4 linked regions of the Diceros bicornis minor genome follow. The protein of the gene in region 1 interacts with the protein of each later gene in a pairwise test. Links are inferred from orthologs where the notes say so. Each region holds a gene or a part of one and is shown in the gene's direction. Other genes may lie near its edges. The genes, in order: SH2D4A, SH3GL1, CDR2 and DBNL.

Region 1 (7,274 bases):
CTCCCTAGGTTATTTTAATATGTGCTTCAGAATTACTTCTGTGCTCACTAGCAGTAAACCCTTATAAAACCAAAATGGATTTGTGTACTTTTTACAAAGATAGCACATAAGAGAGAAGTTAGGAAATCAAAACCTGATTCTGAATCTGGTCCAAGGAAGAGATGAGACTTTGGTTTTATTAGCATTGGGAGCCCTGCTGAAAGCTGCCTGGGAAGATCCGAGGAATGCCAGAATACTAGCAAGGGCTTGACCGTAAAGCTCTGGTTACCACAGCCTCTTCACAGACGTCCCACACCACTTGGGGCAGGGGATGTCCAATTCCACCCACAAGCCTCAAGTCAACAGTTCCTTTGGGCCACAGGCTGCTTCCCGCTGCATTACAGAAACACAGGAAAGGAGGAATGTCTTATCAGCAACCCAGAGCACGGATTTTGAGGAAACAATTCCATAAAGGTAATTCAGGGGAAAACATCAAAAATTATAGTCTAATTAATTCAAAGATTCATGTAAAGACCAATAATTTATCTTGATATTTATGAAGATGAAAAAATGAAAGCCCACATAGAGTCATAAAGGCATGAAAATAGTTCAAAATCAAATCTAACTGTTGGCAGAAAACCAAAACGTAATAGATCTTCAATACATTTTTCTATGATTAATAACTTGACAGAAATTTATTTTGAGATTTGATCAATTTTTAGTAAAGCTGAAATGTTTTAGTCCTTTTCTTTCACATCTACTTCATTCACTATGGAACAAACGTAGAACTTCTTTAAGAATTAAAAAAGTGGTTGGGGTTTCTGATGCTGACTATAAAATATGACAGGAAAAATATTATTGGTGTTTATCCTATTTTCTTTTATAAAGAAAAAGTCTGAAGGTAACTTTCATTTTCTGGAGAATTTAAACACAAATTGACCTTTACTTATGAAAAGTGAAAAGTGGCTTGTTAGACTTTCTGGTAGCAATCAGCTGCTGTGTACATAGCTCCCGGGGGTGCCTTACACTCTGTGATCTCTGCCTGGTGCACCTCCAGTTGTGCAGTGCCATGGCTGCACATGACAGCCCTGGGCAGCACCGTTCTTAAGCAACATTCTAAAAGGAATATCAGCGAACATGTCCCTTAAAATGTAGTCTATTTGTTTTGTGGTGTCCATTACTACAAATAAACGACAAATTTAAAAAATTAGTTAATTTACTAATTTACTATTATTACTGTTAGATATTAATAGTAAATAGCTAGTTAGCTTTTCTCTTGGAACACTGGCCCTGGATGGGCATCAGGGCAGCCCTGAACACATGTTCTGGTGACACCTATTGTACATGTCTCTGACTTGCCAGCGGTAGATGCCCAGCTCCCGTCCCCTGCCAAGGCCTGGTTGCCCAGACCTGACCTTCCATTTGGAGTGTTGCTAGCATATGAAAGCAGCAATCTTCTCCACAATGCATCCTGGATCATGGAGTGGAGAAATGCTTTCTTCTGAAAGCACTGGCCCAAAAGGAGGGAAAGTAATTGAGGGCCTCATAAGTAAGTAACGGAGGCAACTGGTGTTTTTTAGAGCAATATAAAACGTTCTAATTGTCTACTTTTGAAATTAAGGAAAAATATATACTTTTTCTTCCCCAGATTATGCCAACTGAAAGAGGAAATACTGGGAGACAGGAGAGAGGGAACAAAAAAGAAAGGTGGAAGAGGAGAGGAGAGACAAAGTGAAGAGGATGGAGAAAGAACCACAGAAAGAGGAGGAGGAGGAGAGAGAGATTTACATATCCAGGAAAGAGGCACACGACAAGACGACGGACAGGAGACAAGGAGAGAAAAGGGAAGAGATACTGGGCCCCAAGCTGAGGGAATGATTGCACTACTTGGGTACAGGCTGTGTTCATTTGGGCTGTTAACATCCATTCAGCTAACGTGCTCCGCACATGACTAGTCTTGCTGTCAAGACGTTTACAATCGCAAAGAGGCAGAAAATATACACACAGCTACTATACAAGGCAGTGCTGCATAGAAGACGGCAGCAGGGGCCCTGGCTGTCTGCTCTTTGTCACCCGCCCCCCCCGCCCCCCTCTGTCACCACACAGCCTGGCACCTAGCGGGTGTTCATTAGATGGTTCTTGGATGTGTTAAGTGCTAACCTGTGATACAAGTGCTCTGAACATGGAAGAGGCCAGGACTGTTTCCAGCTGGGGGGAGGATAGGCAGGAAAAGGTTCCTAAAGACTGATGCTTGAAGACTAGGTGGGATTTTCATAAGCCAAGTTGTGGGTCAAGACATTTTAGACAGAGGCCAGTGTGGAGCCCCAGAGCCTGTGTAGGTTTAGGGCCTGGAAAATGCCAGATTATCTGAACAGAGGATTGTATTAGGAAGATGATAAAGCTGAGGGAGATTAGTGTTAGATTGTCCTGGTCCTTGAAAGTTGGCAAGAGGTTTAGTCTTACCTTGGACAAAAAGGAGGGGTGAGCATCAAAGATCTTTTAGCAAGTAAATGAAGGATCAGAGTTAACGTTTAAAAAGATGAATTTGACAACTGCATTCAGAAACGTCTGACCTGGAGAGCCTGGAGCAGAGTTGCTGAAAGCACAATCTATAACCCCTCTTGGATCCAATCATTTGGAGTGCTTGTTCAAAAGGAAGATATTCTACTGCTTTGCTCTGAGGTGAGACCCCGGATCCATGTTTAAATAAGCTATCCAATACATGAAATTTCCTGCATATGAAAGCTAGCTAAAACTGGCTTAGAAACAAGACCAGTGTGGAGGTATATCAGTTATCTACAACTGTGTAACAAATTTCCCCAAACAGTGGCTTAATATAACACAAATTTACTCACTTCCAGTTGTGGGTCAGGAATTTGAGAGTGGCTCAGCCAGGTGGCCTCATGAATTTGCAATGATGCTGTAGACCAACGCTGCACCCCTGAGTGGGGCTGGAGGGTCCACTTCCAAGTTCATTCTGTGGCTGTTGGCAGGAGTGCTCAGTTCTGTCCTCGGGGCCTCTCCATAGGGTTGCTCATGACAGAGCCGTTGGCTTCCCTCAGAGGGAATGATCCAAGAGAGGGAGATACACACCTAAGACAAGCTACAAGATCCTTTATAACCTAATCTCAGAAGTGACATAGTAGGAGATGGGGATCATTGAGGCTAACTTGGGAGTCCAGGTACCACAGGAGGCAAAATTCATAGCCTGGGTGTGAGGTGGTAACTTGAAACTACAGTATGTTTTGTGAAATATTATGAGGTAATGTGTTTGAACACTTACCACATCCAGGAGCTGTTCTAAGCACTTTACATGTATTATCTCACTTAACCCCCAGAACAACTTAATCAGGTAGGCACTGCTGTTATCCAGAGGGGGAAACTGAAGGATAGAGAGCTTAGTAGCAAAGTGGGATCGCTGTTATAAAGAAGGACTTGTTAGGACATAGAGATAGGTTGAGTGTGGAGGAAGGTAAGTGGCTGTTACCAGTGTCCTGTGGAATTTTTACTGGCTGATGAAGGACCCTTTATAGTTCTTCAACTGTTCAATCCATCAAGTTTTAGGATTCATTTTGAGCTGGCCACAGCAGCTAACCAGGGGCGAACGACACTCCAGCCAAAAGCACCCCACATGCCATTTATTTAAAAAGCAGTGGGAACCAAAGCTAAGCCAGAAATCCTCCCCTGATAGGATCTCTAGGGTGGTTCCCAAATAGTTAGGTCTCTCAAGGACTGATCTCTGCTCCAAGGCTCTTTCTAACTTTGAGTTTCTTCTGCAGTCTGGAGAGGCTAGGAATGAGAAAGTTTCATTTCCCAACAGAGCAAGTCAGCTCCTGAATTTATCAGGGAGGCTGTAGAGAAGGACAATGAACGCTCACTGTTTATTACTCCTCTCCCCAACACCAGTCTGTGGTTCACTAAAGCAGGCCGTTTTTCTCTACACATTCTGAATGTTCCCCCTCAATGGAAAACGCCCTGCAACCTGTCTACTCCGCTACTGCTGGACTTCCCTCCAGGATTTCCTTTTCCTGTCTTCAGTCAGCTCCTCCCTTCATGCACCCCTCGACCTGTTCCTGCTACAATTCACAAGATTCCTTTACCTTCTTGCCTTTTTCCAGACTTCTTTCATTTTTCTCTCCCTGTCTCTTGTTTTCAGTCTCCATCATTCCAGCCTTTCTCCTCCTTGATCCTGTCCTACAAAGCCACACCTGTACTGACAAGTGCCCCCGAGTTTGAGTTGACTTAATGTCAACAAAAGAAAAAAAAAAGTAAGCTCCAGAGACGCAGGAGCACAACCTGAGAGCTGAGCCGACTTGACCTGCGGGACTCGGTGTAACTGAGACCTGCCCGCCGCCGCAGGCTCCACCTCGCTCGAAACCCCGGCTTCGGAGCGGGAAGGGGCCGGCCGCCGATGTTGATAAGTGACGCAGGACCCGAGATGGCGCGACAGGCCGTCACAGATGCAACTGGGGCCGGTGGCCTTGCCGTCCGGAGCACCGCGTCTGCGGCCTGGCGGGCGACGGGCCCGGGAGCGCCTCCGGCGCGGGCGGGGCCGCGACCCAGTCAGTCCCCGGCACGTGGGCGCGGTGGGGCGGCGCGGGCGGGCGGGGGCTGGGGACGCGTTTGCCCACAGCCCGGCCGAGTGTTTGTGCAGCCGGCCTGGGCCGCCCGCGGGCGCCTCTGCCTTCCCCTCCCCGGCCGCTCCCGGCGGCCCAGCCGGACGTGCGGGGCTCGGCGCCCTGCTAGGCGGGCCGGCGCCGCGCACAGGTAGGTGCCGGGCGGGGACGGGAGGCCGGACGGCGGAGGCGGGGCAGCCCGCGTGTGGGGGGTGTTCTGGGGGGAGAGGCGCGGGGCGGGAAGCCCGGGCGCGGCCGGCACGCACCCCCCACGGCCCCTCCGGCCGCGGGCTCAGGTGTGGGGCTGGGCGGGCGGGCGGCCGGCGTCGGGTGTCGGGTGTCCGGAGCCGGCGCGGGGGAGAGGCGGCGCCGAGGGCCGGGGCTGAGCTCGCGGGGCGGGGGCGGCGGGGGCGGGCGCGGGGCCCTGGGAGGCGCGCCGCGTCCCGGAGGGGGTGTGCCGCGCGCCACGCGGGGCGCCGGGGGCGCGGGGCGGCCGCGGGAGGGTCTGGGCCGGAGTTCCGGCGCCGGGAGGAGCGCGGCCCGCCGTCCCGCGGAGCGCCGGGGAGCTCCTCGCCGCGACCGTGCAGGCGAGTCCCCGCGCCGGTCCGGGGGCGCCGGTCCGGGGGCGCCGGGGCAGGGCCTGCGGCGGGCGGGCGCCGCTGGAGTCAGGGCGCGCCGGGCTCGGCCCTCAGCCCAGGGGCGCCGAAGGCGGTGGGCGCGGAGGCGCAGGGACGAGTCCCCCTCGCAGGTTTTCTCGGGGTCGTCCTTCCCTCCCCGAGGGTCCGAGGGAAGAAGCCAGCGTGGCGCCTCTCTCTTTCTAAACTTAGAGTCTCCTCACCTCCTAAAAGACTTATTTGATTGCCTGTTTACTGGCAATAACGACTTGGATACAATTATTTTTTTAAAGTGAATAAGTGGAAAGCATATGTGGGCAGAGTTGGCATGACTAGAATTTTCTGGATAAATCTGTGGGTACAGTAATTTCCAATTTTTGAGGAATGGTGTACATTTACAAAACTTACCAAGTGTGGTGTCACCTCTAGTAATTCCTTTTTATCCTCAAAAATAGCCCCTTTGCAGAGAGATTAATAAGGTAAAGTCGAATAAGGTAACAAAGTCTGAAAACGGAGCTGGGCTGTTTTAAAAGAATTAGAATTCAAACTATATTCTTAACATTAAAGTTATACTGTCCGTATTACAGTATTTTAATGATTTAGGCTGTATTTCAGGCTTTTTTTTTTAGGTCTCAGAGTCATTAAAAACACAATTATTCTTTCATAGAACAGGGCAGTGGAAATTGTGAGAGTCAGGCCAAATCTATAGGTATCTTGGAAAACAACTGATCCTATGATCCTTTAGAGATTTATTTTTGGAATAACCAGCAGATGTAGGCTTGTTGCTTGTCATTTCTCTCTTTTAAGAAAAGTGCTGTACAAGAAGAAAACCAAGTTAGCCAAGCTTCTCTTTTTTTACTGGATCTTGAAAAACTGGAAGTTTGCTGCACTCAATATGTTACACAGGGCCAAGTCATTGAGTTTGAATCAGCAATGATTGTCCTGCCTGGAGTGAAAGTGGGAAGAATCCTGCTTAGTTAATTTCCTTATGTCCATTTCCTTGATGCTGGCTCCACTTGTCTTTGTAACTTCTGGTTGGATTTTATGGTATAGTCCTCAAATTACAAAGATTCACAGTTCAGGCCCTCCTTCACAGATGAGGAAACTGAGTCCAGAGAAGTGACAGCGTGAAGTTACACAGCTCATGAGAGACAGAACTAGGAGCCCAGGCTGGGGTCCCTGCTGGCTGTCCTGGGAGTGCCCTGGGCTGTGTTTGAGTTTCTGTCTGAAAGCATACGGAGGAAAGAGTTCATTCACACCAGTGGGAATCAGCAGCCTTAGAGTGGCATGCGTATTATTCAGCATCCTGACCACAAGATGGTTGTTAGCTGGGTCCCCAAGTAATCTCTGAGGACACAGGAAAGCCAGTGTCTTTTAAGATCCTCTAGTTAACTTTGACGCTGAAAATCCGTGTTTGCCACAAAGGGCAAAACAAAACAGAATTAAACCCGTGGAGGAGCTTGAGCATCTCCTCACAGGGGCTGTGGAGCTCTTCCCATTGTGAGAGGCTGGGCCGTTGGTGCTGTCCCGGGGGGTCGTGTGTGAGGGGCAGCTGGGGAGATGAGTGCCCAGTGAATCCAGTGGGCAGACAGCGTCCACACCTGGGCCAGCAGGACAGTAAGTTCCCTGCTGTCCTTCCTGAGGTGGGGCCTTTTCAATTTTGGCCTCCCCTAAGCTTATCTGCAATCCCCGGGATGAGGCTTCTACCCCTGGGAGGCTCTCCGTCGGTTCAGCATGTCTGTCGCTGCAAGAATTTGCTGGTTTTCATTCCGAAATTTCACATATGGTACCTCATCCTGATGGTGTTCTGATTCTGGGCTCACAAAGAAACTCCACTGTCCTGGTGGAGTACACTAGAGCCAACTTAGAGCCAGACTGCCCAGCTCTGCCACTTGCCGTCATCTTCATCTGTAAAATGGGGTGATGGGGACTGAACTTGAAGGATTATTGTGAAGGTTAAATGAGTGACTGCACGTCAAGTGCTAGGGTAGTGGCAGCACAGTCACGTCACTCTTGTATCGAGAGTACTCTGGGTGGGGTGAGGGGAGGAATGAGCTTTGGCACT
Region 2 (7,393 bases), on another chromosome or scaffold:
GAAACACTAGCTTTGATGCAAGTGGGAGAGAAGTAACCTAGGCCCAGAAACAGCCTCGGGTCGACATAAAAAGGGACTTCACCGAGGGATCCAGACTGTTCAGAAGTACACATACAATTAACAATCACTGGTGTATAAACTTACCACTGCCCTTAATTCTGAGATACCTCCCTCCTAATTTTTCTTTGGCTTTAAAACATTCTTCCCTTTCATGATAGTATGTTCATAGCAAGTGGTGCTTTTTAAATTAAACATTCTGGGCCGGCCCCGTGGCTTGGTGGTTAAGTGTGCGCGCTCCGATGCTCGTGGCCCGGGTTCGGATCCCGGGCGCGCACGGAGGCACCACTTCTCCGTCCATCCTGAGGCCGCGTCCCACATACAGCAACTAGAGGGATGTGCAGCTATGACATACAACTATCTACTGGGGCTTTGGGGGGAAAAAATAAATAAATAAAATCTTTAAAAAAAAAAAAAAAACATTCTGGGGCCAGCCCCATGGCTTAGCGGTTAAGTGCCCACGCTCCACTGCTGGCGGCCCTGGGTTCGGATCCCGGGCGCGCACCGATGCACCGCTTGGCCATGCTGAGGCCGCGTCCCATACAGCAACTAGAGGGATGTGCAACTATGACATCCAACTATCTACTGGGGCTTTGGGGGTAAAAGAAAATAAATAAAATAAAAAAAATAAATTAATTAAACATCCTCACTGGGTCAAATGACTGTCTCTGACAATCAGTCCCGACTTTATTTACGTGAATTTTAAGTCTCTGTGAAATCCCCAAATCTGGAAACAATTAGAGCAGTGGTTCTCAACTAGCGGGTGACTCTGCCTCCCAGGGGCCCCTTGGCAATGCCTGGACCTTTGGGTTGTCACAACTGGGCAAGAGGGGTTGCTAGGGGGATCTAATGGATGGAGGCCAGGTATGCTGCTCCAGGCCACCCTACAGTGCGCAGGACGGCCCCAAATGTCAACAGTGCTGAGGGTGAGAACCCCTGGACTAGACTAATTGATGTCCCTGCCACCCCTTAATTCATTCCACCAACACATCTTTTTCGGCCACCTACTGTGTGCCAAGCATTGTGCCAAGGGCTGGGGACAAAATGGGAGTCAAGCAGGGGAGAGGGGTAGTCGGGCCGTCCTTGGTTCGCCTCCCACGTTGTCGGGGCCTGCTGGCTGCTAGGAAGCCCCCTCCCAAGCCACAGGGAGGAGGACAGGTCACCTTGCATACCGGGAGGATCAAGAACCCGGGAGTCCCGGCTCCCTGACGATCCCCCCACCCAGCCTCTTCCCTCGGCCTGCCCTGACCCGCAGACCCAGCCCTTGGGTCCCCGGGCCCGTGTGAGCCCGGGCCTCAGTTTCCCCACCCGGCCAGAGGGTCGCTGCGGGGCCCAACTTGCTCAGGGGACCCAAACGCACTCGGTTACCTGCCAAGCCGGCCCCTTCGCCTCCTCGGGCCTCAGTTTCCCCTCCCAGCCCCCACCGACCCGTCACCGCACAGGGCCCTGCAAGGACGTACTGCCGCAAAAGCGCCGGAAAGAAATGGTCGCGGCCACAACAATAACGTCAAGGAGCGCGCCCTCCGGGTCGCAAGGCCCTTCCCCGGGATTGCACGGCCCCACGGCCCGAACGCCCGGCGCGGTGGCGCGGGCCCGGGGCCGGGAGGCCCGTCCGCCCTCAACCGCCGCCTCGGCCCGTCCGCCCCCAACCGCCGCCTCGGCCCGCAGAGGCCGCGCGCCGCGCCCCCCCTTCCCCTCACCGCGGGCCCGAACCGACCTGCCGCCGCTGCCCTGGCGCCCGGCGCCCCGCACTCCGGCTCCTCCAGCATCTCTCCGGCGGCGGCTCGAGCTCCCCTCAGGCGGCGGAGGCGCAGGCTCCGCTCAGGCGGCCGCTGCTGCTCGCCCTCCCGCCCGCACCGCTGCTGCCGCGGCCGCCGCGCTCGTATTTGGCGGGAACCGCGGCGACCCCCGCAGCCCGCGCGCCGATTGGGCGAGGCCGCATCACGTGACGGCCCGCCTCGGGAACTGGGGAGCTCCGGGAGCATCCTCGCGAGAGCCGAGGCTTCCATTCCTCCCGTGGCTCCCCTATTGATATTCCCGCGGAGGGACGGGGCTTCCTCTTGGCTGCCTGTCATTGGCGAAGAGGAGGCGCCCTGCGATTGGGGGAGGGAGGTGTCAAGCTGAGAGCTCGGCACTGTGATTGGCTGAGCGCGTGGGATAGGTCGGTAGGAAGAGGGCGGGTCAGGCTCTTACGTCATGACGAGACGTTTTACGTAGGGCGACGGGTGACAACCTGAAGCTGCGATTTAGAGGAAGCCTGAAGTTTTGAGTTTATCCTAATTGGACGTCGGCTGAATACACCAACAGCAATTAAAATTGTAAATTGCTTTTATATGACAATACAAATAAACTCTAGGCATCGCTTCAGAAGTATTTGACATGCGGTAAATATATTCAGGGGGAATGAATGAAATGAATGTTTCCGATTTAATCCTCAGGATTTTTATACACTGTTTCCTTGCCTGGAAAACTCTTTCCGAAGCTCTTTTCTTTGGCTAATTTCTACCTAACTTTCAGATCTTAAAGTTAGACCTCGGAGAAACCTTTCCTCCATTACCCCCAACAAAATGAAGTTCCTACAACGCTGCTCTTTTTCTCGAAGAAATTACAGCTTATGTTTATTTATTACCGTGTTATTTGATTCATGCCGTAATTTCTGTTTTTGTCATTAGCTCCATGAGGGCAGGAGTCATTCATCACTGTATCCCTGAGACCTGTCAGTGACTGATACATTAGTAGGTGACAATAAATATTTGAGTGATTGCATAAATATCATTTGATTGGACTTTGTGATCATATAGGTTAAAAGGCTCACACAGAACAGAGACCTTCAGAGTAGGTTTTCTCCAGCAGCAATTTAATCCAGCAGAGCAGAAGTGAGAAGACCGAAATTTAGCCCAAGTTTAGAATTCTATTGATTGTATAGATCAGATAGTTAAATCAGTAGAATTGGTTGGAAGTAATGTGAAGAAATAGGGAATGTGGGCAAGACTTTGTGCAAGTCACGTCTTACTCAAGGCCTCAGTTTCCCCGTACGAACCATGAGGTGTTTTCCCTCCCTTCTCTGACATTCTGGCGTTCTGCAATGGTTTAGACCAGTGACCATCAGAATCACATGGAGAGTTTTTTCAAACTATTTGTAATGGCCCCATCAGGATCTTTGAGAGGGAGGCTAGGGCATGCATATGCCGAAACAATCCTCTGATCTAGTCCAGGACCTTCTGTTGAGGCATTTGGAAACTTCCAGCAAACTTCCGCTTCAGACAATCACCCAAATGTCAGAGATTTCAGCACTGAAGTTGCAAGCCCCTTAGCTCTAGTCACTTTCTTGTTCCTCTTTTTGGGTTCACATACTCATTCCAATTCATTGTTAATTTCCAATTCATTCAATACAATAACAATTGATTAAAAAATCAAGATCGGTAAGCATGCATCAATCTGGGAAGTCTTCCTAGAGGGGGTGATATTCCAAGCAGAGTCCTATTTTATGTGCAAAGGATGGAGCGAAAGATTGGGGAAGACTGTGCAAGAGAAGAACAACGTTAGCAAAGGCCCATAGGCTCAGGGATCACGGATTATGGAAGATGAAGAGAGCCAAAGTCAGAAGGGTTGACAAGGCCAAGTTATGCAAAGTTTGTAGGCTGTGTTAGGAAGTTGGGAGTGTATTCTGAGGGCAGTAGGTGGACTTTAAAAACAGGAGACTAATGTGATCTGAATTGTTATAGAAGCATCCTTCTGGCTGCCTTGTAGGGGGTGAATCGGAGGGGAGAATCTAAAGGTGGGCACACCAGAGAGGAGGCTGGTGGAATGGTCTGCTTAGGGCAGGGAGGGCAATGGAGGCAGTGGAAAGGAGGTAGAAGCGACGCCCTGATGTCTGACTTGGGAAACTGAATGGATGAACACGGGGCGGGGTTGCCGGTAGGTGGGAGGGACTAAAGAAAAAAGTAGCATAGAGGAATTGGGTACAGCTGAGATTAGCAGACAGGTGTCTGGAGACTTGTAAGCACAGCCTCCCAACCTCTCCAGAAAGGTTTAAGCGCCTTTCCTAACACGTTGGGGCCACCTCCGGGACTCCAGAGGTCGATGCAGCCGCCACAGCCCCTCTAGGCTCGCCCGGTCCACTCGCTGGCGGGGGCGGCCCCCCTCCCCGCTCCCGACGGCAGGCGAAGTGCGCGTGCGCTCTCCGGCCGGCAGGGGGCGCGCGTGCGCAGACGGGGCCGGGGCGCGCGCGGGCCGGCACCGGAAGTGTGCAGTTGCCATGTAATATCCTGGCCGCGCGGGCGCGCGAGAGGCTGAGGCGGCGCCGGGGCGGGCGCGGAGCTGGCGAGAGGGCGGAGGAGGCGGCGCTGACCGTGGCCGCGGAGGCGCGCGGGGGGTTGGCGGCGCCCGGAAGCCTGTCGCTTGAGCGGTCCCTCCGCTTCGCGGGGTCCGGGCGGGAGGCCCGACGGCGGGAGGCAGCATGTCGGTGGCGGGGCTGAAGAAGCAGTTCTACAAGGCGAGCCAGGTGAGCGGAGGCCGAGGCGGGGGCCCCGGGCGGCCCGGAGTGGGGGGCCAGGCCCGGCCCTGGCTCGGGAGGCGGCCGAGGGGGCTGCGTTGGCACGTGTCCCCCGCGGGGTGGGGAGAGCCCAGGAGGGGCAGGGGCTGCGGGCGAGGTGGCTCGGGCCCTGGCCGCCCTGTGTGCTCCAGCCTCCTCGGGAGGGGTGGGCAGACCCCTGGGAGGAGCAGAGATGCACCCAGGGGGTGACCCAGGGCGGTGATCCCTCTCCTCCTTTCCTCCCCTCTAACAGGGCAGGGGTAGGGAGGGAGAGAAGGGGAAGAACAGTCCCGAGGCTGTCGACACAGAACTCTTGCCAGAGAGCGCAGAGGAAGGGAACATTTGTGTCTAAAGCAGTTCTTTAAAACAAAAGGCAAAAAATACCCTTTCGATGGACCCGGTGCAAAGTTGAAAGGTTAGAGTGAAAAGTCAGTTTCCCACTCCAGTTCCTCTCCCCACGATCAGGACTGTCACCCGCGACTTAGGTCTCTTTTTAAGGATACGTGTACACCTCTCCTTTAAAAACACACATATAGTGGTAGCAGAGTCGACACCGTCCTGTGGACTTTGTGTTTTTCGTTAAATGTGTCTTGGAGATCACAGTAGAGCTGGAATTCTCCACCTGGGGTCATTCTCTGTGGGGGGACGTCCTGGGCACTGTGGGGGGTTGAGCAGCATCTCTGGCCCCCACCCGCTCGATGCTGGGAGCACCCTTAGCCGTGACACCCACAAATGTCTCAGTGGCTGCCAGATTTCCCTGGGGGAACCCCCTCCCTCCCCCCGCCCCCTCCCCCGGAACTACTGGACTAAAGCATGCTCCTAGAGCTTCTGGGATCTTTTTAATGAGTACGTGGTATTACATTTCACCAAGTGTATCATAATTTATTTACCTAGTTGGTTTATCGATGGATGTGTATCATAATGTATTTAACCGGTCCATCAATGGATGTTTAAGTTGTTTCCAGCAGTTTTCTGCTACAAACAACACTGCAGTGAATATCTTTGCTCACAGGTGGGATTGGATTTATAAGAGAAATTCCCAGAAGTGGAATGCTGAATCCAAGAATATCTGCATTTTATGTGTGACAGAGAGTATAGGTGTTTTGGAAGATTCGGGCCCAGTGGCTCATGAATCTGGCGAACGCTATGGCTCCACTCTCCAGAAAACCAGGCAGATGCAAAATTCGGTTTATAATTTCAGATCCCAGAAGCCCCAGATTCCTTGAACCCTGTTGGTCCCTGCATCCCAGGTTAAGAACTGTAGGTGTGGAGTTTGTGTGGATACACTCCACGGAGGAACGAGCGATGATTTTCGGAGTTCTTTGGGCCGTGTTGACAAGCCAAACTCTACCCACAATTTGGAGCGATCCAGTGGGAGGGAAGAGAAGTAAGTCCCCAGCAACACACAGCTGATGCCCTTCGGCCCTTAAGGGAAAAAGTAACGACCCTCTTGGTTGTCTAGGGCTAAAGATATTTGGGTCTATATCTAGACCCCAGATGGTGGCTAAACCCTGAAGGAAGAGGGACGTAATCCAGAGGCATTTAGGATTGTTGCTGAGGGTACAGCCCTTTGCCCCAGCAGGATGGAATTCAGTGATCTGGCCCTGGGTTAGCCTCTGCCCAGCAGGCTTCAGACCCCCACGTGGTTGGCTGGAGTGCCTTGGTGCTGCTCACTGTCTTGGCCCCTGTGTAGTCCGGCCTGCACAGGAACAATGTCCCCGTAGGTCTTGGAAGAATTCCTGGACCACTTGTACCATCCTGTAGACGGGTTTCCGGAAGCTCTCCCCTCCCCACCCCAGCTATCAGGCCCCATGCTGGTGGCCCACACCGTCCCCAGCAGGCACACCCAGCTAAAGGAACCAGCCGGGCCTCTCAGGCCAGCTGCCAGAGTGTTCTCTCTCGGGGAACCAGGATGGCCCGCATTCAGATCTGTGAAAAGCGCCTTGAAACCTGGAAAGCACAGCGCAGTGTAAGCTGGTGGTTCAGATCAATTTCTTATCTCCACATTCTGAGGCCCAGCCCCAGAGAATTGCTCTGATGGCCACATCCTTCTCTGAGAGCGGTTGTCTCGGCCTCCCCATCAACTCTTGTGTTGAGTAGTTCTCTCAAGACTCACCCTGGCTGTGTTCCTTTCTCTTCTGCAACAGTTTCCACGGGCATCCAGCAGCTCCTTTGTTTATCTGGACGTGTCCATCTCTGTGTGCGTTTCTTTTCTCGTTCTTAGGAACACCTCTTACATCCTCTTCTGCGCCCTCGGAATAGAGTCGTCTGTTCAAGAGTAACATATCTCGTTATGTACTAATAATTAGTATGTGTTGAGTTTCCACCATGTGAACAGGCAATGTGCTTTAAACCAGTTGGTCTCAACTGGTCTCTCCTCTGGCCTGAGCGTCAATGCACTCCCCTTTTCCCACAAAAGGACTTGGGGACTTTTATTGTCCTGTAGAACAGCAGTTCTCAACCAGGGCCAGTTCTGCCCTCCAGGTGACAGTGGCAGTATCTGGAGACATTTTGCTTGTCACAACTTGGTGGATTGCTACTGGTATCTAGTGGGTGGCAGCCAGGGGCACTGCTCAGCATCCTTCAGTGCACAGGGCAGCCCCCCCAGAACCACAAATTACCTGGCCCGCAGTGCTAGTAGTTCCGAGGTTGAGAAACTCTGCTTTAAGGTTTGAGAAAAGTGAGGCTAATTACACCAAAACAAAACAACAAGAAAAAATCTCTCCTGGGCCATTCTTGTGGTAGCTGCCTGCTTCTCCTAGTTTTCAAAACACACATACCCAGGTGTACACAGATGGATGC
Region 3 (7,442 bases), on another chromosome or scaffold:
TAACTTACAAAAGTGCGATTTATCCAAGAGTTTGGACATGCTTAACTACGGGCCAGGGAGATGTGTTTATGGCATTGTTATCCTCCCTACTTGGAAGAGTGCAACAGAAAAGGAACAACAAGGTGATATCCTTTAGCTAAAGTCACAGAGAAGGAATGAAGTGAGCCCTTCATCTTAGCATAAAGTTGTCCACTCAGTAGTACAGGTTTGCACTGGATGATTTAGTCTTGATCCTCTCCTGACAGACTATGTAACTTTGGCCCCAAAAACATACCTAAGATAGATCTGGAAATAACACATTCTGGTCCTTGCTCTGATGTAGATGTCCCTCTTAAATCTGGCCTATTGTCTTACTCTTTCAGTGACTTGATTTCCCCAACTGAAAACAGGGAAAGGTTAACCAAGCAAGAGGTAGGTATAGATCATCTTCCTTTTAATCTTGACTATGGTTTTAACATAACACCATGATTTTCCTGTTTCATCCCTGCCTTACTGGAATATTTGTCCAGGTCTCCACAATTTTACTGAATCAGAAAACAGACAAATATTCAGATAACTGGAGAGATGTTACTTGCTTAAATAATTCTTGGGAATTAAGCAGGTACCTCAGTCTGTATTACCCAATTTCTTAGGGAAGGAGAGGGCAAGTTAGAAGTGGGGGAGGGAGCATTTGGCTCAAATGATCAAATTACCTAAGTCCCTGAGTTTCACTTTGCATCTAGTAGATACATGATTCTAATTCTATGGAAAGTAGGACCCTGGAATTATCAAAAGCAGTTATTAAACACATAGGCAGATCAAGCATTGTCTGTCGACGGAATAAAGAATATTTTGCCCATCCGTGTACTAGTATTCTCAAAATGTTTGTAGATTCTGCTTAATGATAAAATATAAATCTGAATTTTTTTTTTTTGTCACTACGCAGCACTCAAACACTTGAGGAATACAAGTACTATTACGTAGAGGCCAGCCAACATTTTTGGCTTTAAAGGTAATTCTCAGATTTGAACAAGCTGGGAATGACTGGTGAAGCCCTCATTCTAGGGAGTTCCTTTTGCCATAAGAAGCAAGATAGAGGCTAAAGGTCACTGGGATTCTAAGAGGGCCCAAAACAAGGGAGTCAGTAGAACCAAAAGCCAAGGTACAAATTTAGCCCACCAAAATCTACTCACTCTTCTTTTTCTTAGTTTTATTTCAGGCATGCTAAAACAAGAAGGATGCCATACCTTCTGAACTGATCTATCATTAAGTCAGAAGGCAGGTATTTATAAACTTAGAATTTTACAAAGAGTCATAAACTCGCTGAGCTGAGCTCAATTGTTTTTAACCCCTGGGAAAGGTTCACCATGAGCTAACATCTGTTGTCAATCTTCCTCTTTTTCTTTTTTTTCCTCCCCAAAGCCCCAGTACATAGTTGTATATTCTAGTTGTAAGTCCTTCTAGTTCTTCTGTGTGAGCCACTGCCACAGCATGGCTACTGACAGATGAGTGGTGTGGTTCCGCACCTGGGAACCCAACACAGGCTGCCAAAGCTGAGCCCACCCAGCTTTAACCACCAAGCCATTAGGGCTGGCTCTCACTGAGTCGAGCTCAAATTTCTAAAAAGAATTTGAGTTAAGCACCCAGCCTGTCTGAAACATGTGAATATAAGGTTTTAATAACATTATGAAAAACTCTATAGCCTGAACTTCTCTTTGTGTATGTATACTCAGAGGAGGAAGTAAAATCTTCCTTATTTCCATCTGCGAAGGGAACTATCAATATTTTGCTTTAGATTATTTTCATCATAGTAATACTTATTTCAATAAGTATCAAACTGAAAATCAACAACTACAATTTTTTCAAAGCCACCACCACTATCTAAAAACTCTCCTGGGGCTGGCCCGGTGGTTTAGCGATTAAGCTCGTGCACTCCACTACTGGTGGCCCAGGGTTCGGATCCCGGGCGCGCACCGACACACCACTTCTCCTGCCATGCTGAGGCCGCATCCCACATACAGCCACTAGGAGGATGTGCAACTATGACATACAACTATCTACTGGGGCTTTGGGGGAAAAAAAGGAGGAGGATTGGCAATAGATGTTAGCTCAGAGCTGGTCTTCCTCAGCAAAAAAAAAGAGGAGGATTAGCACAGATGTTAGCTCAGGGCTGATCTTCCTCACAAAAAATAAATAAATAAATAAATAAATAAATAAATAAATAAATAAAACTCTCCTTACCTGATTTTACTATGGCAACAAAACACAAAAGATCGAGAACATTATATCTTTACAAGCAGGGGCAAAGGACTTCTGAAACTGGTTCTTCTTTATCACAAAATGTTTTATACAGAAGAGTTTGAAACTAGCAAAATGGTGTCGTGGTTAGGCTGGGCAGGTTCACTAAACACCAGTGAATTATTAAATGAAAAACAGGAAACCCTCCTTTTAGAATCAACTTGGGTTGTTATTCATTAACCTACTACTAAACCAAATAATACCAATGTTGCTGAAGAAGCTGTTTATGATTGCTTCTAAGGTATGACTAAGACTCTCAAAGAATGATCAAGACCTCTCCAAAGCAGGGCTTCTAGCACTGAAAGCTAACATGTCTTTTTCAACGCAATTTTTGTTCAAGATTTTTCCAGGGAAAAAAAAAGCTTCCCCAAATAGTGTCCTTAAAAAGAACCCACTAACAACAATAGGCTTAAAGCCTGTTTTGTTTTGTTTTTTGACATTTTAAACTATCAATAACTTTAATTCTCCAGATCTTTCTCTCTCTCTCTTTTTTTTTTTTTTTTTGAGAATGTTAACGTTTCAATACACTTTCCCATCTGATTTGGAATCAAAATGAGCTATTTAACATCCTTATAACTATGGCATCAGAAAAGAGTACATATTTTTATATATATAATTAAATGAGCTATTTGCCATGGAGAAAAAAGCCAGCACTTTCAATCTTGCGGATCAGCAACTATGGAAGATGAAGTCTCTTAAAGGTCAGATGCATGATTCTAACCCTTCATCTTCCACAAATCGACATCAACAAATCCTAAATCCCATCATTTCTCCTTCCAAACAGCTCTATCTGTAGTGACTTATTTTTAAATTAAGACAGTTGGTTTTAAGTTGTTTTTTCTTTTGGCTCTGGACTAATATCTCTACCTGAATATTGACAACTAGGGCAGTAGAGGCTTTATAGGGGACCTAGCTTTCTTCTTTTTTAACCTAGCAATAAAATGTAGATCAGTAACATTTTGTCTTTTAGTATACCTGGATTCGGAAGAAAGGGATTCTTGAGTTTACCATTCCTCTTTCATTATGATTATTACTTTCTAACACCTTTATTCCTTCTACATTTCTTGGCTGGCATTCTACTATAAAAGAGAGCACTGCTGTCTTCTATTAGCTGTACCTTTACCTTTACATCAAGGTTGAGAACACTGACGTTGTGGTTTGTCACTATTTAAGAGTTTCCCGGCTTTGTCTGCATGATGATGGTAAAAGCTGCAACCCACGAACAGTGGTTACCGTCATGTCTGTGGGGAGAAGCGTTCACTGCTCTGCCGGCCATCAAGGGCTAGCGCTGCGTTCATTCTCTTCTCTACAGGTGCAACGTCACGACCTACATGCTTAACTTGTAGTCTACGAGTCTTTTAGATATCGCACGCAAAAATGCTCGCAATTTTTCTTCTAAGGAGATAGGTTCAACTGCATCCCTTCCCGCCCCCAGATTCTCAAGTACGTCTGGGGCCAGCCGTTTTACAGCGAACGAGTACAATTTCCCAGAGAATTGGAGGTGAGGGCTCAGATGTCAAGGAGCAAACTGCTAACAGCCCTGAACTCCCACCGACTGTTCATCTCCCCGCATCAACGACATCAAATCTGGGAGTCAGAAGACCCGAAGGGGCAGGCGGGGCAGCGGACATCGGGCTCCCGGCACCCTTCGCGCCTCCTGGCTGCACGAAGGACACCTCACGACAACGTCCCACTGCTCCGAGGCCGGACTCCAGCCCCTCAGGCCCACGCAACCTGTCTACTGGCTGGGCGGCCCCACACCCACACCCACTACAGGCGTTGCAGAAGCCGCCACCTCCACAACCCAGCGACACCAACGCACTCCCAGAAGCGTCCCAACGCAGGAGAGGGCGGGGGCTTCGGCCGCACCCCTTCGCCTTTTCCCCGCCTTCTTTGTTTCTTCCAGATCCGCCATTGGCTGCTTGTCCCCGAGGCCGGGCGAACCCGCGGGCCTGCATTGACACGCGATTGGGCGACGTCGCTGCCCCTCGACCAGCAGCCCGCTCTCGATTGGTCGAGGCGCCGCCGGGGGTTTGAATCGCAGCCCCGGCCGGGGAGGGTCCTGCCGAAGTGCCACGTTGGGCCCGGCTGCGGCGTGAGGAGCCGGCTCGGGGCGCTAGCCGCGGCGCTCGCGCCATTGGGGCGGGTGGGTGGCGCGAGGCGAGTCGGGAAGCCGGTCCGCGGCGTGCGGCTCTGGTCGGGCGGCGCGGGGGAGCTCGGGCGGCGGCGCGTCCCACCCGAGGGCGCTCTGGCTGAGGAGGGAGGGACAGGCGGAGCGCCCGGGACAGCGGCTGAGGCGGGACGGCGGCGGCGGGGGCCGCTGCCCCCGGAAGAGCCGGCCGAGATGCTGGCGGAAAACCTGGTGGAGGAGTTTGAGATGAAGGAGGACGAGCCGTGGTACGACCACCAGGACCTCCAGCAAGGTGAGGGCGCAGTCGCCCCGCAGACGACGGGCGGGCGGGCGGCCTGGCTGGGGAGGCTCCTCCTGGGCGCGAAACTGGTAAAAAGTTGCGTTTGCTCGAGGCCGAGAGGTGCCAGGTGCCGGGAGAGTCTGGCGCTCACCTGGCGTTGGGACCGGCCGCGCCCGCCCATCCCGCGGGAGAGAAGCCTCTGCGCGGGGCCGGGGCCCGGGCTTGTGCTCGGTGATCCCCATCATCGCTGCTGCGCGCGGATCGCTGGCTGCGCCAGGCACTGTCTGGAGCGCCTTCCCCGGCTTCGCTGATCTAACCCTTACTGCCTTCCTCGGAGGCAGAGCTGCGGGACCCTGACCAGGCTCGGCCCGCGGCCTCTCTGCCGCTGGGAGTCGTCCCACCCCGCGCCGGGTGGGAGCGGCTGCAGGTGGCGGGGGAAGCTGTCCCGTGTGGCACGTGCCCAACCCTTTGCACACACGCAGTCCGCACAACAGCTCTGTTGGTGAGAGAGTAACTTTTAGTATCCCCATTTTCCAGATGAGGAAAGCGGAGGCTAAAACGGCTAAGTGACTTCCCTCGAGTTAAGTGTGGGAGCGAGTATTTTTGAACCCACACACTCAGAATGAGGAGTGCCCAAATCCTGTGTCTTTTTTACCATCCGGTTTACAGCTTCTTCAGTTGGATGTTAGACTCTTAAAAAAAAAAATTGCTTAGGCTTAGTTTAGATGCCAAATAAAATGACTTGAGGACACTTCTACCTCTACCACCTCCTTCAGTTTGCACTCCAGCTTTTTTATTTAAACACAAGCATTTGGATCTTGGCCTGCCTTGGATTTCTTGATGATGCTGTGTCTCCAGAGAAAAACGTTAGAGCAGCCCTCTTTTTTTTTTTTTTTTTTTTCATATTAATAGCAGGAACTTGCAGTTGGGGAACGCTTTTTATGTGCCAAACACTGACAGGCCTTTACAACAGGTGCTCACTTAATGCTCCCAACAACTAGGGAGGTGGAAGTAGATACTGTTATCGGGGAACTAGGATTCCACTTCAGACTCCAGCGCCAACTTTCTGAACCACTATACTGAACACTGAATAATCCTCAGGAATTTCTCCAGGCATCTTCTGTTTCTGCAATTCTGTGTAAATCAATTTTTTCAGCTCCAAACTTGCTCTGAAACTTAACATTTCATTTAGTTGAGTAGTAAATGACCATGATGTTTGTTCAGGCTAACCATTGAACTTAGGGGGAAGGGGTGCGGAAAAAGAATGTAGGCTTGAATGACTCATGTTCAGAAAAGGAAGATAAACACCTCTTTTGGGAGAAGATGATTTCTAAATCCATATGCTATGGACAGTCACTGAAACCAAAGTTGTTCACCCTTACGCTTATATAGTCGAAGTTATTTCGCGGCCGCAGTGCAGTATTTGCCATCATGTTCTCTGCGAGACAGATTTGTCTTACATTTAATAAACCTGTTTTCAGAATTCCCCATAAGGATTGATGGCCTAGTTTGATACTTTCTCCAGGGTTAATGGAGCAGCCACTGTGCAGTTGCAGCATTTGCCTGTAATAAATTAAGCAGTTTGTATAATCAAAGCTAAATGTTTTTCTTTCCTGCATTTGAGAGGCGTGGGTCCATACAGGCTCATTGTTTTGAATCTAGCAAAATACTTAACACATCGTAGAAGCTCAGTTTTAATATCTGTTGAACTGAGGCACTCACACAGGCTTACTGTTTTCGTGGCTCTCTTCCATCGGATACCTTCGTCCACGCTGCACTTTCCCCCGTGGGAGGTTGTTAGAAACAACCATTTGTAATATTTCAGTCTACTTAGAAGCAAATGCAACGTGGTGGGGTTACGTGCGGAACTCTTTAACCTCTGATGAAAATGAAGTCATCAGGTGTTCAAGCTTATTGAAGCCATAAAGAGCACACGTCCAAACCTCCTTAATGTTAATTTGCTTTTGGAATTTGTTCCCTGCTTTTCAAAAGACTTTTACGTCCATTATCACAATGGACTTTGACATAACCTGTATGTCATAACCAAGTGTATGGGGTAAGAAGAGATGTGAAATTCCAACAATCATAACTTGTGAATATAGCCTGTAGAAGAATGAAGGCTGCAGTGTGAATAAAAGGATATCTTTGTCCGAATTTTGTTAAACTATATGTTAAAGAACTCCTAAACTTCTAATGGATTTAAAATTTTGTTAATTTCTCAAAAATTTATTATCTACTCTATGCCAGGTATTCTTGTAGGCACTGGGGCCACAGTGCCTATCCACGAGATAGGATAGGTAGGGTCCTACTCATGGAGTTGACGGTCTAGGAAGCTGTTGGCTAGAGAAGCCTGGAGATGCTGCCTCCTGGTATGTGCCCACTACAGTGCCTGGCACATGGTAGGCCCTCAGTAGGTATTTCCTGCTGAATAAAGTTTAGGAGCAGGTCTGCCCTGTTAAACAGATTGATAAGCAAATCTAGCTGGATTTTATCAAGTGCAGGCATCTGTTCATTTTTTAACATCCTCACTGTTAATTTACTGAGCGAGCCCTATTTGGAGAGAGGTGCTAGAACAACTTTTTAAGATCTTGTTCTCAAAGTCATAGCACTACAAAATTTTTTCCTTTTGCAATAGAAGCGTTATTTAAGTAGATTGAGTCTTTGTATCAAAGCTTGCTGGGGCATTCGTTTTAAATTAAAATTGCTGAAAAATTCTAACCTCGGGCCAGCCCAGTGCATACTGGTTAAGTTCAG
Region 4 (7,718 bases), on another chromosome or scaffold:
AGGGTGGAGGAGTGGTGGAACGAATACGAATTTTCATATTAAGAAGCTGGCACAATTCATGTAAGCTGATGCGTGAGACCATCTCACACCCTAAACCCCCAGGGAACAAGCGCTGTCGTTGGACCAGGGACCTTTCAGTAGCACGGACACAGGCGCGAAGCTGCCTCTACCCCTCAATCCATGTGAAGAAAGGAAAGAAGTGCCGTTAGGCCTGGGCCCAGCCTTGCCTCAGAGTTTGTTCTCAGGAGCAATAATGGCCTGGCCAGGGCCCAAGAAGGCCAGCAGTGCTCAAGGGGAAAAATTATCTGCCAGCTCCAGAAAGAAGGATGGAGCTGGAGGCACAGGCTGGTCTGCGGCCAAGGCAAGGAGTATAAGGCTGGCCGCCCTTGTGGAAGAAGCTGGCCCTTTCTGCATTCAGCGTCAAATGCCCAGCAGGGCAGGCTCGGTAGGCCTTCACCCTGTAACAGGAGGGACTGAGAATCTGTCAACGTCTTTGGGTGAAAATGTCAGCAAAGTTGTAGTGAAACTGCAAAATCCCCATCACCTGTGTCTTCTGTTCCTTTTGAGCCTTGTGGGGTTTCTGCTGGCTCTTTGCTGTGGGTGCACCCCTCTACAGCGGGGAGCTTGGCTGAGGCATGCATGTCTTCAGGTCTCCAGGGTTGAGGCTTCAGGCAAGACCTGAGAAGCCAGAGACCCTCACAAGAGCTCTGTGAGTGGCAAGCGCGCCCTCTCTGTGGCCTTTGTAAACGGTTAAGGTGGCAGGAAAGAACACTCCTCCTCCTGAAGGAGGAGGCTTTGCCCTTCCTGTGAGCCACCTTGCACTGACTTGTGGCTGCCCCTCAGAGCCAAGCCTTATGACAAGCAGTCATGAGGCCACTCTCCACCTGAGGGCCTGGGACCCTCAGGGTCAGAACTGCAGCCCTTCCACCTGCCTGCCATTGACTGCTTACTCTCTGTTCAAATCATAAGAGGGCCTCAACTAGGAAGGTTTTTTGTTTGTTTGTTTGTTTGTTTTGTGAGGAAGATCGGCCCTGAGCTAACATCTGCCAATCCTCCTCTTTTTGCTGAGGAAGACTGGCCCTGGGCTAACATCGATGCCCATCTTCCTCTATTTAATATGGGACGCCACCACAGCATGGCTTGACAAGCGGTGCGTCGGTGTGCGCCCCAGATCCCAACCGGCGAACCCCGGGCCGCCGCAGCGGAGCGCGCGCACTTAACCACTTGCGCCACCGGGCGAGCCCCGGAAGGTTTTTTTTTAATCTCTCAAGATGTGAAGTATTTGTTTACAGTATTCCTCTTACCATGCAGCATAAAGAAGTTTTCTTTTAGGGCAGGAAAAGTAATGATTCCATTTCTCTAACTCTGTAGTAACGTGACCACGTGTGGCTGAAGTGGAGAGATGTAATCCTAGTGGCTTTTAAGAAAATCATTTTCTTGCTAATTGACATTTCTGTTGATGAAGACTGAATAAACAGCTATTCTTTCTTACTGATTGCTATGGTCTGAATGATTATGTCCCCCAAAATTCCTATGTTGAAATCTTAACCCCCAAGGTGATGATATTAGGGGGTGGGGGTCTTTGGAAGATGATTAGGTCATGAGGGTGGAACCTTCATGAATGGCATTAGTGCGCTTATAAAAGAGACCCCAGAGAGGTACCTTGCCCTTTCCACCACATGAAGACATAGCAAGAAGATGGCCGCGGGTGAGGAAGCAGGTCCTCACCAGACACTGAATCTACTGGTGCCCTGATGGTGGACTTTCAGCCTCCAGCACTGTGAGAAATAAGTGTCTGTGGTTTACAAGCCTCCCAGGCTGTGGTATTTGTCATAGCAGCCTGAACAGAGTGAGACACTGGTCTTGCTGTGCTTCTCTGACAGTTCTTTTTCATAATGCTGTTGGTTCCTTCTAGACGGTGGGCTCCAGAGGGAGTCTGCCAGCAAGATCCTCCCTCCACACTTGGACTCGGGTGTCTTGAGGACATGGCCAACTGCCCTCAGTGTGGAGGACACTGACCATTCTGGGCTCTGGTTCTGTGCCTTGGATCTGTCATCTAACCCACCAGGAGAGCATCAAGAAGTAAAGCAGATCTGAGTTTATCCACATGCAAGAAAGGTATAGACGCTTGTGCAAATAGCAGAGAAGTTAGTTCAGGAGGAGAGAGGAGTCCCAGGAATGACCTCTGGAGACATCTCACGTTCTCAAACTGAGGAACAGCCAACCAAAAAGAGAGAGCTTGGGGCTGGCCCGCTGGCGTAGTGGTTAAGTTTGCGCGCTCCGCTTCGGCGATCCGGGGTTTGCAGTTTCAGTTCCCAGGCACGGATCTATGCACTGCTTATCAAGCCATGCTGTGGCAGGCATCCCACATAAAATAGAGGAAGATGGGCACGATGTTCGCTCATGGCTAATCTTCCTTACAAAAAAAAAAGAGAGAGAGCCAAAAGGAAACAGGAACACAAGAAAGCAGGAGTGGGAAGGAGACGGATATGGAAATGGTTTACACACAGCAGCCAGCCAGAGGGACCTTTTTAAAACATCTCCAGATCACATCCTCTCTCTTTACAGCACGCCAGAGATTTGGTTACACCTAGAACAAAACCCAAAGTCCTTCCCCTGACCCACAGGGTCCTACGGGATCCAGCCTCCACCCCACGTCTCCTTCCTTCTCCTTCTCCCTGTGCTCCACCCTCAAGCCCATTAGGCTGGCTCCCACCTCAGAGCCCCGACACATCTCGTTCCCTCTGCCTGGAACACTTCTGCCCAGACCTTCCATAGCCACACACTCTCACCCCCCTGCTCCTATATCCAGTCTCTGCTCAAGTGTTACCTCCTCAGAGAGCCTTCCCTGGCCTGTTGAGGTGAAATAGGTTCCCACACCCTAGAGCAGGAAGTGGAATCCTGGCACCCTCACATTCCCACACCAGGGACCCCCCCTCAGCTTTCTTTCAATGGAGCCTGGATCTCCCTGATTTTCCCTCATTAGTGTGGATGAACCTGGTCACCACAATGAGCTGATCTATTTCCAAAACAAAGAGACCTGCCTCTTTGGCCTGCACAGCTTGATTCAGGCAAGGGGGGGTCTCCCTAAGTTGACTAAAATGTTGAAAAGTGCTGCCAGACCTCCTAGGAGTCCAGGGACCCCAGGCTGGGGACTGGCAGCCAAGTGGATGAAGGAAACTGGTTACTAGGAGGTGTTTAACAGGAACATTCCCAGAGATAAGAGAGAAAACAAAGACACATGGGGCCAAAGAGAAGAAGGCAGAAGAACCATAGACTGGGGGCTGAACTCTCCCTGGAATGCAAAGGGTGGGAGGGACTAGGGTGGAGCAGAAAGTCACCTGAGGGTCAGGTCTGAAAGAAAAACAAGGACAGCAGAGATGTCACTGAAGAAAAAAAAGACTAGAAATTGGGAGAGCTGGGAGGTCCGCACTACTAGAGTTCATTTTTCTGATGCAAACACAGTAGTGAAGTCAAAATGTAGAAATGGGTACACCTGCACGTCGTAGAAGAGAAGACCCAGGATGGACTTGGGGAGGGAGGGAGGCGGCAGACCGGAGCTGCTGAAAGGAAGGAGTGTTTGGCCAGGACCTACAATTTCCCCAGACTGGGACAAGGTAACCGCTCTGCCCATCAGAGAGATGTCAGAGCTTCTGCCTGTAAAATAAACAACAATGATGTAAACAGAAATAAAAACCGACATAAATGATTTTGGTAACTCATTTGGCAGCCAAACCTGACCTGAACTGCCACGAGGCCATTAACAGTCTTTCTATAACCCAATTAGCCAATTGTTCACAGACATCACTGCACAAATATGAACGTGTTTGATACCAGATGCTGCTTGGGATCAATATTACTTTTCTGAAATCTGAAAAACTCTGAATTCAAAAGCACATCTAAGGGACTATGGGACTGTTGGATCTGTATTTTAGGGAGGTGGGGAGTTCTTTGGGGTAAGAAGGGAAGCTTCCAGCTGCCTTGGGCCCTGGCATATTTCCCTCTTTCCCTCCAGGTAGGTCAGTCACGACAGGCACATTTGTGCATGGAAGGAACTGGTGCTCCCTGCAGGAAGGGAGTGGATTGAAGCATTGTGGGCCCCTTCCCTCAGTCGGCCAGGGCCTGGAGAGAATCAGGATGAGCAGCGGGCAGCTTCTTCACTTTCCTCCGCTACCCTGTCCTCAACCAAACCAGCGGGGGAAATGCAGGTGAGGTCGAGGAAGCACAACAGCACTTTGAGTTAGGTTTGTGGCGGTGTGGTGTCACTTAGTGTTCACTTTACTTCGCGTACTCATTGATTCATGCATGCTTCATTCACAGATCAAACTTCTGTTGAGGGTCCACACAGACGCTCCGGGAATTCCGTTTGGAGGGAGACTGTCATGAATCTCAAATTCTTAAATAAGTGCATTAATCGCGGCAAGAGTTAGGACAGAAACGCACGGTGCTCCCTGAGAGCAGCTATCAGAAAGCTCGGTTGAGTGCCTCGGCCAGGCCCACAAGGCGAACGAACGCCTGGGCGGGGTGGAGCACCGGGGACGCGCAAAGGGACGTACCCTGCCCCCTTCCTCCGGTCCAGAGGCTTTTGCAGGCCGCCACACCGCCCCGCCCCGCTCTTGCGACGCCCAGCCGGGAGACGCCCACTCACCCTGGCCTCGCCCACGCCGCTTCCGCTTCCGGCCGTATGGTGGGCGGGGCTTCCGGTCGTCGGGGGCGGGCCGGGCCCGGAAGCTGCAGCAGGGGCAAGGGGATCTCGGTGCTGGCCATGGCTGCAAACCTGAGCCGAAACGGGCCTGCGCTGCAAGAGGCCTACGTGCGGGTGGTCACCGAGAAGTCCCCGACCAACTGGTGGGCGCCGAGGCGGGCCGGGAGCGGGCCAGGGGCGGGAGAACCAGGGGTTGCGGAGCCGCGCGGCCGCAGGTGGACCGGGGCTCACCTGTTTGCCCCACACCTGTGCCACCCCCGGGAGGTGCTCTCCCCGCCCTGGTCAGCCAGTGCCCCGCCGTGCGTGGGCGGGTTAACCCCGTCTTGGGGGCCCAGTGAGTCCCCAGCCCCTCCCCCTCCGCTGGCGTCGGGTCTCGGCTCCTCGGGCCTCCATGTTGGGTTCTGTGCCTGGCTCTGGTTGGTGGCTTCCCAGGTTCTCCTTTCCTGCCCGGGGACTTCCCTGGACGAAGGGGCCCTCCACAGCCCTCCGTGAGAAAGCAGAAGCCAGGCCTGGCTTCTTTCAAACTCTGTGTTGAGGAATGGGCCTCGCAGAGCGGTCTGGCAGTCCGGCTGGGAATAGGAGCCTTGCCCTGGAGGCGTCAGACGAGGTCAAGGGTTTGATTTCTAGTTCTCTGTGAGTGTGGGTTTCAGAAACCTCCCTTTCTCAAAGAAGAATACTCCTTCCCGTGCCTGAGCTGTGGGGAGATGGATGAAACAAGGATGCTGGCTACTTGTCTTTAGGAAGGTCCCATCCTCCCTCCACCTCCCGTGACAACCTCCGCCAGGCTGTCAGTGGTTAGGTTCATGCAGTGGATGGAGCTTTATAGTACTGGAAGCCTGGATCTGAAGTCTCTAGGGTAGCCCTGGGCAGCCCACATGCAGGGTCAACTCTTTGTTGGGCAAGCACTGGTAGCTATGCAAGGTAATTCTGTGTCACTTTCCCGTTTGCTTCAATGGCTTTCACTGATCAGTTGTGAGCACTTCCAGTTCTAAGAAATGTGCTGAGTGTGATGAACTAAGGTGACCAGCTTTGGGGAGCCTGTTCCCATTGCTTGGCGCGGGGCCTGTTGTGGGTGGCTGTGCTGACGTGACTGGCTCATCTCCACTTGTCAAGTGCTGCTGCTTTCTCATCTGCTTTCTCTGGTGCCCAGCACAGAGTCGCTTTCATACAACATACTATTGTGACACTGAGGACGCTGTGGCCTTCCCTTTCCTTCAGCCCTTGGCCTTTTGGGGAAGAGTTTCAGAACACCAGCTGCCTAGGTCTGCAGAATCTGCAGACTCGTCTCGTCTCTGGGGCCAAGTGGGTGTGGGCCCCCTGCGTGGCACTTGTCCACAGTTTTGCGTAGGATCCAAGCAGCACATCCTCTGTTTGGAACGCTTCTGTTCTAATTAGGGATGGGTGTCTGGTAACTGGTAGGGATTCTCTGCCTTCTCTTCTTTGCAGCCCCTCAGAAATTCACCGACACGTCAAGCACTGTTATTTCTCTAAGGAAAGTTCTGGGTGTCAGCCCTCCACCCTGTCTCTCTCCCATCTCAGAGGGCCCTTCGGCCTCTGCTGTTACTCCAAACCCTGTTGAAAGTCTCTCCACACTGAGTGTCCCATTTTCACATCCATGTGAGGGCACGTGACTTTGGAGCCTGGAAGCATCTTTGTGCCTTCCCAGTCCTGCCCAGTTAGGGGTCTGCTCCTTTATGTGTGCTTAATCATCTGGTGTAGCCCTTTCTGGGCCTCTTAAGGGGTCTTCCCTCCAGGTCTGTCTTCATCCTCAGTCTTTTCAGGAAACATCACTGGTTTGGGGATGATGTCCCGCAGCCCAGCTGGCAGTTCAGGCTTCCCTCTGCAGGCCTCTCATGTTTCCAGCCTGTCCTTGGGCTTCTTAACAGCTCTCTGCTACCACCCAGGACTCTGTCTCCCACAAGGGTGCTGAGCCTCTTTCCTCTCACCCAGTCAGAGCCCACCCATCTCACCAGCCTCGTCACTCTCACCCAGGCTCCAGAACCATTTTGGGTCATACCACTCAGCAGCATGAACCCCTGGCCTCTGCCCTCATTGTCACAGCCGTTAAGTATCTCACCAGATACTGTGTGGCAGGTCCCCACTCACTAGCTGAAAAAATATCTAAACCGTGTCACTTCCCTGCTTATTAAACTCTGCAGTGGCTTCCTGTTGCACATTAAATACAGCCTGGACTCCTCTCTGTGGCTGACAGGCCCTGCATGGCCCAGCTGCTGGTCTCCTGGCCTGCCACCCCTCCTGTTTACCACACTGTGGCCACACCTGTTTCCACCTCTCTAACCGCCTTTCTCTTCCTCAAACTTGCCAGCTGGTTCCTCAGAGCCCTTGCTCTTGCTGCTTCCTCTCCCTGGAGTGCCCTTCCGCATCATCCTGGGGGCTCCCCAAACTTTACTTCTCAACTCCGAGGTTGCCTTCTTGGAGAGGCCTTCCTCGCTTCCTAGCTGCTTGGCTGCAGTCACATCTTCCCATCTCCCTGTTTTACTTCCTCTGGACACATGCCAGACTCCTCATTGGTGTTCCTGTCTCCTTTCTCTCTTCACCGGAAGGGATGGGATATGCCCTGTGTCTATCCCCAGTGCAGTAGTTGCTCAGGTGAAGGATGGACTGAGAGGGGTACAGAAAAAGTGGTATACGGTATGAGAGCAAGAAGAAGTGGTCTCTGGTTGGGTGGATGGTACAAGGTCTCACGTGCAGAGTGGGTGGTATTGGGCTAGGCCTGAAGCCAGGTGGGGTGGGGAGCAGCCACAGCATCAGGTCTCCATCTTGAGTCTTTCTCTTGGTTCCCCCAGGTTATTCTTCCCCTAGATCATGGCAGGGTTGTTCCCCTCCTGCACCCACTGCACTATCTGACAGTGTGTTAGTGTTGATTTGTGTATTTCTTTTTGTGTCCCGATAGAGAGTTCCACGGGCAGGGCCTCGTAGGGATTCTTCATAGCATTATTCCCATGACTAGCAAGCAGCATGTTCTCAGTATGTGTTTTTGGAAGGAAGGATT

What was found.
Region 2: the proteins of SH2D4A (region 1) and SH3GL1 interact in binary tests that used the Homo sapiens proteins (3 or more experiments, as listed by UniProt). The two-hybrid records come from large-scale screens. The link is inferred for Diceros bicornis minor from reciprocal best matches to the Homo sapiens genes SH2D4A and SH3GL1.
Region 3: the proteins of SH2D4A (region 1) and CDR2 interact in binary tests that used the Homo sapiens proteins (3 or more experiments, as listed by UniProt). The two-hybrid records come from large-scale screens. The link is inferred for Diceros bicornis minor from reciprocal best matches to the Homo sapiens genes SH2D4A and CDR2.
Region 4: the proteins of SH2D4A (region 1) and DBNL interact in binary tests that used the Homo sapiens proteins (3 or more experiments, as listed by UniProt). The two-hybrid records come from large-scale screens. The link is inferred for Diceros bicornis minor from reciprocal best matches to the Homo sapiens genes SH2D4A and DBNL.

What each region holds. Positions count from the first base shown.
Region 1 is NC_080768.1:40,644,886-40,652,159, reverse strand, and holds the start of SH2D4A (SH2 domain-containing protein 4A), read left to right. Parts: upstream 1-4,261; 5' UTR 4,262-4,746; intron 4,747-7,274. UniProt on the Homo sapiens protein: Inhibits estrogen-induced cell proliferation by competing with PLCG for binding to ESR1, blocking the effect of estrogen on PLCG and repressing estrogen-induced proliferation. May play a role in T-cell development and function.
Region 2 is NW_026691553.1:3,317,748-3,325,140, reverse strand, and holds the start of SH3GL1 (endophilin-A2), read left to right. Parts: upstream 1-4,381; 5' UTR 4,382-4,516; coding exon 4,517-4,561; intron 4,562-7,393. Other genes in the region: CHAF1A (chromatin assembly factor 1 subunit A), read right to left, coding at 1,775-1,826. UniProt on the Homo sapiens protein: Implicated in endocytosis. May recruit other proteins to membranes with high curvature.
Region 3 is NC_080765.1:31,136,486-31,143,927, reverse strand, and holds the start of CDR2 (cerebellar degeneration-related protein 2), read left to right. Parts: upstream 1-4,424; 5' UTR 4,425-4,621; coding exon 4,622-4,700; intron 4,701-7,442.
Region 4 is NC_080780.1:1,146,062-1,153,779, forward strand, and holds the start of DBNL (drebrin-like protein), read left to right. Parts: upstream 1-4,707; 5' UTR 4,708-4,765; coding exon 4,766-4,848; intron 4,849-7,718. UniProt on the Homo sapiens protein: Adapter protein that binds F-actin and DNM1, and thereby plays a role in receptor-mediated endocytosis.